Linked DNA regions of Oryzias latipes. The protein of the gene in region 1 binds, or shares a complex with, the protein of each later gene. Links are inferred from orthologs where the notes say so. Each region holds a gene or a part of one and is shown on either strand. Other genes may lie near its edges. The genes, in order: fgf23 and fgfr3.

Evidence for each region.
Region 2: the proteins of fgf23 (region 1) and fgfr3 are in contact, whole or in part, in a cryo-EM structure (PDB 7YSU), measured with the Homo sapiens proteins. The link is inferred for Oryzias latipes from reciprocal best matches to the Homo sapiens genes FGF23 and FGFR3. Residues at the interface, in NP_065689.1 of Homo sapiens: Ser29, Leu32, Gly33, Ser34, Trp36, Tyr43, Ala45, Ala47, Arg48, Asn49, Ser50, His52, Ile75, Arg76, Ser77, Glu78, Asp79, Ala80, Gly81, Val83, Val84, His117, Gln118, Thr119, Asn122, Gly123, Tyr124, Asp125, Leu158, Ser159; in NP_000133.1 of Homo sapiens: Glu157, Arg158, Asp160, Lys161, Leu163, Leu164, Ala165, Val166, Pro167, Arg223, Asp244, Leu246, Glu247, Arg248, Ser249, Pro250, Val277, Tyr278, Ser279, Asp280, Ala281, Gln282, Pro283, His284, Ala312, Gly313, Ala314, Thr316, Thr317, Asp318.

The regions. Positions count from the first base shown.
Region 1 is NC_019881.2:17,684,929-17,689,195, forward strand, and holds the start of fgf23 (fibroblast growth factor 23), read left to right. Parts: upstream 1-1,147; 5' UTR 1,148-2,731; coding exon 2,732-3,169; intron 3,170-3,808; coding exon 3,809-4,267. UniProt on the Homo sapiens protein: Regulator of phosphate homeostasis. Inhibits renal tubular phosphate transport by reducing SLC34A1 levels. Up-regulates EGR1 expression in the presence of KL. Acts directly on the parathyroid to decrease PTH secretion. Regulator of vitamin-D metabolism.
Region 2 is NC_019880.2:21,749,976-21,753,320, reverse strand, and holds the end of fgfr3 (fibroblast growth factor receptor 3), read left to right. Parts: intron 1-516; coding exon 517-654; intron 655-756; coding exon 757-862; intron 863-1,592; coding exon 1,593-1,757; 3' UTR 1,758-2,709; downstream 2,710-3,345.

The DNA.
Region 1 (4,267 bases):
TTTCTGAACACAATGTGCATCTTTGGCGAGCTCAGCTGAGAAAAAAAGATGAAGCATCTTCAGCTTTTGATGGTTGACTCAAAAATACGGATGCCTAAAAGAGAAAAAGGTTGTGTCTAAACCCAAACCCCTTTCAGCTTTGACCAAAAACAAAATGCATCTGCTGAGTCATTAGTTTTTCCCCACATCATTTTAATCATTAAAAATGTCAAGGTGAGGAAATATTTCTTTCAATGTCAACCTATTTTCATGTCCAAATGGTATGAGGTATGAAAATAAGATAATGTTAGGCGTTGGGAACTCTGTTCGTCTCCTCTGTTCTCATATACCTCACCCTCTGCCTTAGTTTGGTTTGCTGATGACTGTAAATGAAGAAGAAGAAACTCGCTTAAGTTATTTGTTTCTGAAAAAAAGACAATGCTGAGTAAAATTTTCCTTTTATTTTTGTACGTATGTGCTGTGCACAGCAGTCTACTGTATTCCTAATTATAATAAAAGTTTTGTTGTTTTTTTTTTTATCCCGCTGCTGTTGTGTTTTTTTTTTAAATCAAACACTATCATAGCAGTTACTTCAAAAGACAAGATCATATTTTTAGGCATCATTATTTTTAATATAGTGTTATTACCACAGGAAATTTGCAACGCAAACAGACATAAAGGCAGTGAAACACATTAATAATGCCCCTTTATGATGTGTCATTAATTTCTCAAGGACTCTTGTGCTTTTATTTCGATAAAATTGTCTATTAACATAAAAACCCATTCCAATAATCTTTGATTTATCTTCAAATTGTTCCCAGTGGTTTTTAATTGTGCCTTTTTTAGCCAAAATCCCAAAAACCGGTTTGGTTTTCTTGGACATAGATTCTGCAGAGCGGCACGAATTAATTAAATATTCACCTCTGAGTTGTAGGCGCAGAGCGGCCGCGCCACCACTTCCCCACATTCATCTGTTTACTGCTTTCCTGCTAGCTTACAGCCCCTCATACCCCCATCCTAACAGTAGCTGTGCCACAAAACTGGTGAGCAATATTGGAGCTATCCAGCTGTCCAGTTCTTAACCAGATTCGAACTCAGATGGGGAAAACAAAGACGTACATGGATAGATTTGTCTAGAAGTGGAAGCATCAGAATGGTGCAGAGCAGGGAGCCTTTGGCCCGCCCAGCATATTTTTACAAATATGATCTTTTTCAAACAGCATTTTTTCATCTGCTCCTGATTCACAACGATTTGAATAAACACATACTAAGAAATGAAACTTTGAGCTTAACTTTCTTTATATACGTCCTCCACGTTATAAACACTGTTTTTATCTGAGTGGGTCTTTAATATAAATACTTGTATTTCCCTCATAAAGAATAATAGAGGTTAGTATCTCTTCACAATCAATTATCTCATTTGCTTAAACATGCCTCCTACTCCTCAGTTCCTCAGAGCACACCATTTAATCAGACTGTTTCTGTTGTGTTGTTTTTTTTTAAAATCAAACACTATCATAGCAGTTACTTCAAAAGACAAGATCATATTTTTAGGCATCATTATTTTTTAGCTCATTACACAATTTAAAGAGTAAACACTTTCCACTATAGCCGTGTATTTGTCACCTTTTAAAAATAATTTATCGATACATGCACAAACGAACACACAAAACTGTAATCTGCATGTAATATGTTAGAAGTTCCAAGAAACTGATAAAAAAAATGACTTTTCTTTAGCCTGTAATAGGAAAACTCAGGCATGATTTTTAGTATTTTTTAGCTTTGTGTCAATTTCTGGATTTCAAAAAAAGACAGTTTTAAAAAATGAACTTCAGATGGATGGATGGATGCTTGACTAATAATATATTTGAATACATAAAAAGCGCATTATTCAGTAACTAAAAACAGGAAATTAAAATTAGGTTTTTGCTCGATAAAAGTGCATTTGTTGTTCAAAAAAAAGCAGGATACTTAATTAATGAGGTTCGTTACTGTTTTTCACTTTGTGTTAAATTGCGGATTTCAAAAACGACAATTTAAAAAAAACTTGCAAAAAGATTTTCTTGCGATTTCCCCCTCTTGTTTTAAACACTTGCATACAGCACACAGCATTTTTTAAAATCCAGAATACTAAAGGAGGCAAACATCATATTTGGAGGCTAAAGGTAACGTTGCACTAAGTTGAAGAATGCTGTGTGAGGAAGTGTCTCCATCTGCTGGTGAAACGGTGGATCTCTTCGGTTTGCAGGTGCATAAATTTATCAAACTGAACCAAATTTATGAATGGAAAAGTTATTAAAAACCGAGATTTAACTACTAAATCCAAATATAAACATATGCAAATTAGTCAACCCTGCAGTTTGAATTATATTTAAATTATATTGACCCGATTGACATAAAAACACAGTTTGAGTTTAGTATAAGCTATTAAATATTCATATTTCTGTCATCTTTTTACTTTAGCCAAATATGTTTTTCCTTCCCAAACTAAAACCAGAACCAGAAAATGAACAGTTTAAGGTGGCTGACTCAAGAAGTGAGCCCAAAAATAGGAGTCGTGTTGTCTGACCAACAACATTGGGACACAAACAGAGGTGGAAGTGGCCCTTCCGCTGCAGCAACCCGCACATCGGCTTTGGGGGCGAGTTGCTTTTTTTTTTTTAACCCAAAGGATGTGAGCAGGAGTGGCACTCAGGGCCTTTAAATACGAACTGTCACCAAACTTCGGCACAACGGGCACCCAACAGCTCGCATGGGACAGGTGATGAGGGACACTACCATGCTGGCGCTCGTACTCGCCGTTCTACAGGGGTTTTCTGTCCGGCAAGTAACCCCAGATCCATCCCCGCTCGTTAGCTCCAACTGGGGAAACCCGAGGAGATTCATTCACCTGCAGACATCCACGGATGTCTGCAACTTCTACTTGGAGATCAGATCAGATGGAACCGTGCGCAAAGCTGCGAGCAGAACATCATACAGTGAGATGGGCTTTTATTCTAGTATCTTCTTAAATGCTGTGCACTGGTCTTCATTTGGATTTATCTGGAATAACTTGGCGCTAAATCTTTTTTATTCAATCTTTCCAGGTGTGATTTTACTTAAGTCTGAAACGAGGGATCGAGTCGCCATCCTTGGAGTCAAGAGTAACCGTTACCTGTGTATGGATCTGGAGGGTAATCCATTCAGCTCGGTGAGCATACAGTTCATCCTTTTCATTTTATTAGTCAATGCCGACTAAATCTTGATCTTTGATCGTCTTTTCTTTTATTATTATTTAACTCCATGAAGTTTTACGCACCCCCTCACACAATTCTTCTCAACAGGGCCTGTAGACTTAAAAGATTGATCCAAAATAGGTATTATTGATCATCCGAGCAGCTTCTTCAGAACATGTCTGAACTGTTAAACCGTGCGTGAAAACGCACTATTTTTACGCACAAACGCAGCATCGGGTCCTTTAAAAAATCCGGTTTAATTGTCTGACTACCTGCTTTCTGCCTTAAAGTAGTTAATATAACGATTTGGTCGGATCTCTGCCACATTTGCAGAGTTTATGAACTTAAAAATCACAAAAAGTCTGTTTGTTTAAAATACCCGACGCAAAAAAAAACATGAAAAATGTTTTGAATGCACCAAATAAGACGAATACAAACAATTTAAATAACTTTACATTTTTGTTTAAAGTTTTTTTTTTTTAACCAAAAACAGTTTTTCCATGCGTAAAATTCTTTTCATGAATGGAAAATGTACTATAGATAAACATGAATTTATTTTTTAATTCGAATGCACTGAATCCAATGAAATTCCTCTCCGTTCCCCCCTTTTTTAGCCTATTTGCCTCAGAGAGGAGTGCCTCTTCAATCACAAACTCCTGGAAAACAACCGAGACGTGTACTACTCCACTCGGACCAGCATCTTGTTCAACCTGGAGGGGTCCAAACAGGTGTACATCGCAGGTCAGAACGTGCCGCAGACCTCCCTGTTCCTACCCAAGAAGAACACGGTGCCGCTGGAGCGCCTCATCCCGCACAGGGAGAAGAGGAAACGGATCGTGGATCCCTCGGACCCGCACGGAGTCTACCACAGACCGGCGGAGGAGGGCTCCGACTCTCGGGCTGTGGCGGAGCAGGACGACGCCGACGTGGAGGTGGAGACAGAGATGGAGATGGAGGTCGGTGATGACGGACGCAACTTATCCCGGGAGAGACCGCTGGTTCCGTTCAATGACGACCCCTGGAACGTGAATTCGTTCAGACAGTCCAGCCCCCGAGGCACCGGAACAATGGGC
Region 2 (3,345 bases), on another chromosome or scaffold:
GGGTTAATGGATGAGCAACGTTCCTGCAGGTTAATCCACCTCACATTATTTCATTACCTTACTAACCTTTTCAGAACCGGCAGAGCTGCTGCAAAAGATGAAAGATGTTTGTTTCTGTTACTCATCACAGGGACGGTGTGTAGAGGAAATGCATATGTGATTAATGTCACGCATTAACCTTATAAAAGTAAAAACAGTCTGTTAAATGGGGTTTTCTACTTGCCCCAAAACTCAGTTCCAGTTCATTTTCTTCTTATAATAAAGTCAGTCCATCATCTTTTTATCTGTCTGTTCTTGTTTGTGTCTGGAGGGAAGCGATGATGAGTTTACAAACCTTATTGACCTCCTGTCTCAGGCTAAAAGAGGTTGGAATTGATTTCTAAATTGAGTGCAGTTACCATTGTTGAGATCAATAGTCAATTCCAAACAGTTCAAAGCTTCTCTTAGAGCTCCAACAGAGCAAATGTGCTTCCTAACGCATCTGAACACTGCATTTGTTGGTTGTTTTTGGCTCAGATGGTCTTACGGGGTTTTGCTGTGGGAGATCTTCACCCTGGGAGGTTCTCCATACCCGGGAATCCCAGTGGAGGAGCTCTTCAAGCTGCTGAAGGAGGGACATCGGATGGACAAACCTGCCAACTGCACTCACGAGCTGTAGGTGTCTGACCTGGAGGGAGGAGAAGACGACTGGGATCAAGTCTGTGTTCAGAGGGTTTCTGGATCCAGATGTGTGAGAGCTTTCTGTCTGGGTTTCAGGTACATGATCATGAGGGAGTGCTGGCATGCGGTCCCCTCCCAAAGGCCCACGTTCAGACAGCTGGTTGAAGATCTAGACCGGATTTTATCGATGACCTCCACAGATGTAAGTCTACAAACACACAACTGCTGTCCACCTGTTAGACCTCACTATCACTGTCATGCTGAGCTTTGGCTGATAAACAAAGTCTTGCTTCACTAGTTGTGTTTTCGTTGACTATGAAATGATACAAATTAAATATGCGATAAATTCGCCTAATGAAAACACGACAATTTGAAAAAATCAGCATTAATCATAAAAAGGTTTTTGCTCTTGGAGGAGTTCTTGAGTCGTATCCACATTGACTTATTTCGCTAAACTGCAATGGAAACACGTTTTAAATAAATAAGTCACGTTACCAACAGCCGCATACCATTGGGCGCTGCACAGCGGGGGCCACCAGAGGTCCCACAGCGTCACATCAGAAGTTGAGCGTGTCATGTGGAAGCGTTGGATCCACAGCTCCTCTAAAAGCACCAACCACCATTTCCCAAAACGGCTTCATCTGTAGCCCCTCCCACGTGTAAGGAGGAAGACGCCAACGTCTCCTTTGATGGATGATGATGAGCTAGTGCCACGGCAGACATTTTAATGCATCTGCTATCAATCAAAGTATTAGTCACGTCCGTTGTTTGTGAATGACTTATGGCGTGAGTCGGTTTGTGTTTATTTGCATAATTAGGATCCAAATTGTGAAATTGTTATTTTTCCACATACATGGAGAACGGATTCACTTGAGCGGTTATAGCTCCTTTGGGAGGTTCATCAGACGTAACCTATGATCCTCCTCTGACAGGACTACCTGGACCTGTCGGTGCCCTTTGAGCAGTATTCTCCCACCTGTCAGGACTCCAACAGCACCTGCTCCTCTGGAGACGACTCCGTGTTTGCCCACGACCCGCTGCCCGACGAGCCCTGTCTTCCAAAGCAGCTGCCCAGCAACGGCGTGATCAGGACATAAAAGCGCCGCTGGGTGGGGGTTCCTGTCACAGTTCCCCTCCCAAAACCCCTGGAGGTCTAAACTCACCATGCAATACTTCCACAGCTCTTCTGCTCGTCTTAAACTTTTTAAACGAGGTTTTTTTTCTTCCAGAATTGAAGGAATTTTTTCTTTTCTTTTGCCAGTGAACCGTAGTCGTGCTCTTTTCGGAAAAGAAAGTATATTTTTTTACTCGGGCCAGTCTTTTGCTACCGCGTGTGGGGAAACCATTCCGTGCCTACTGGGAATAAACCTCCAGACGCTGAAGAAAAAAGGATGCGAGGAGGAAATGATGGGCATTTATGAGTGACAGCGAGCAAGAGCCTGGTTTTTGATTGGCTCTTGTCTGCACAGACCCCTCAGATAGAAACAAAAGGTCTGATCCAAAAGCAAAGGGATGCAGAAAATCAAAAAATCGGCAAAGAAATTTACTCCCGAAGAGAGCGTCTTCGTCCCATCTTCATCACATGCAGCTTTGTTTGCAAAGCAGTTCAGGGCTGATCACTAAACAAGGGTTCCAAGACTTTTCTATCGGCTATCCAGAAGAGGGTTTAGTGTAAATATATATTAGCAAATGGGTATCATATTGCTGTCTACAGCCATGTACTTTAAAGACAAAAAATGTAAGATAATATGTGAGAATGGAAGACACTGTCCTTGTAAAACATGTAATCATTTAAAAGGTTTATTTGAATAATTAACATGTATATTTGTAAAGATATTTATAGACTTAACATGCGGTTTGGAGTCTGAAAGGTCTAGTGTAGAATTTTAGTACTGTACACACAGATTTTTATTTCAACGTTTTGTAACTTATTTTACAGCGGAACCTATTGTCGCAGCTGGCGGTCTCTTCCAGGTTGTGATCCATCTTTTTTTTTTTTTTCTGTTTGTTTACAGTTTTATAAAAATGCATTATGTACGGGCGACAAGAGGCGGAGCTTAGAGGGCGAGTGTGATGCGAAAGGCCGGAGCGGGAAGTCTGAGCTGTCCGGGGAGCTGGAGGTTTCCTCTCAGCCCGATTAACTCTTGCTGGGCAAGAATGACAGCAGCTCTTTGTGCCACGTTCATCTTAGATTCACGGCCACATATTTACGTCACAGGAAGCCTTCAGAGAACCGCCAAAACATCCACATGCATGAACTCTGCAGCACCTTCGGCTAACATAGCTTGCACTCGACTCCTCCTGTACTACATCTGGCTGTGGGGGGGATCGTCTTAAGAGCAAGTGTTCATTTAAAACTCCCTTTCCCAGCATCCTTTGCTGAAACCATCAGATAATGTGCTTTTTATTCAAAAAAGGTCTGAGCATGATTGTATTACGACGGAGTTTTAGGGTCAATTTACAAACACTTTTTTTTTTTATTACGACTTTTAAGTTTTAAATTTACGACTTAAAATCTCCTAAATCTACAAGAAAAAGAATCAGAGAACGAGAAGAAAACGCCAAAGTTGTCTGTTTATCATAGCTTAGCTTGAAGATGAAAGATGTGGAGCGTTTTCTGCAGCTTTTTTTCCGGATAGGTTTAAAAAACAAAGAAATTCTGAACCTTTTGGCGACTCAGAGTCA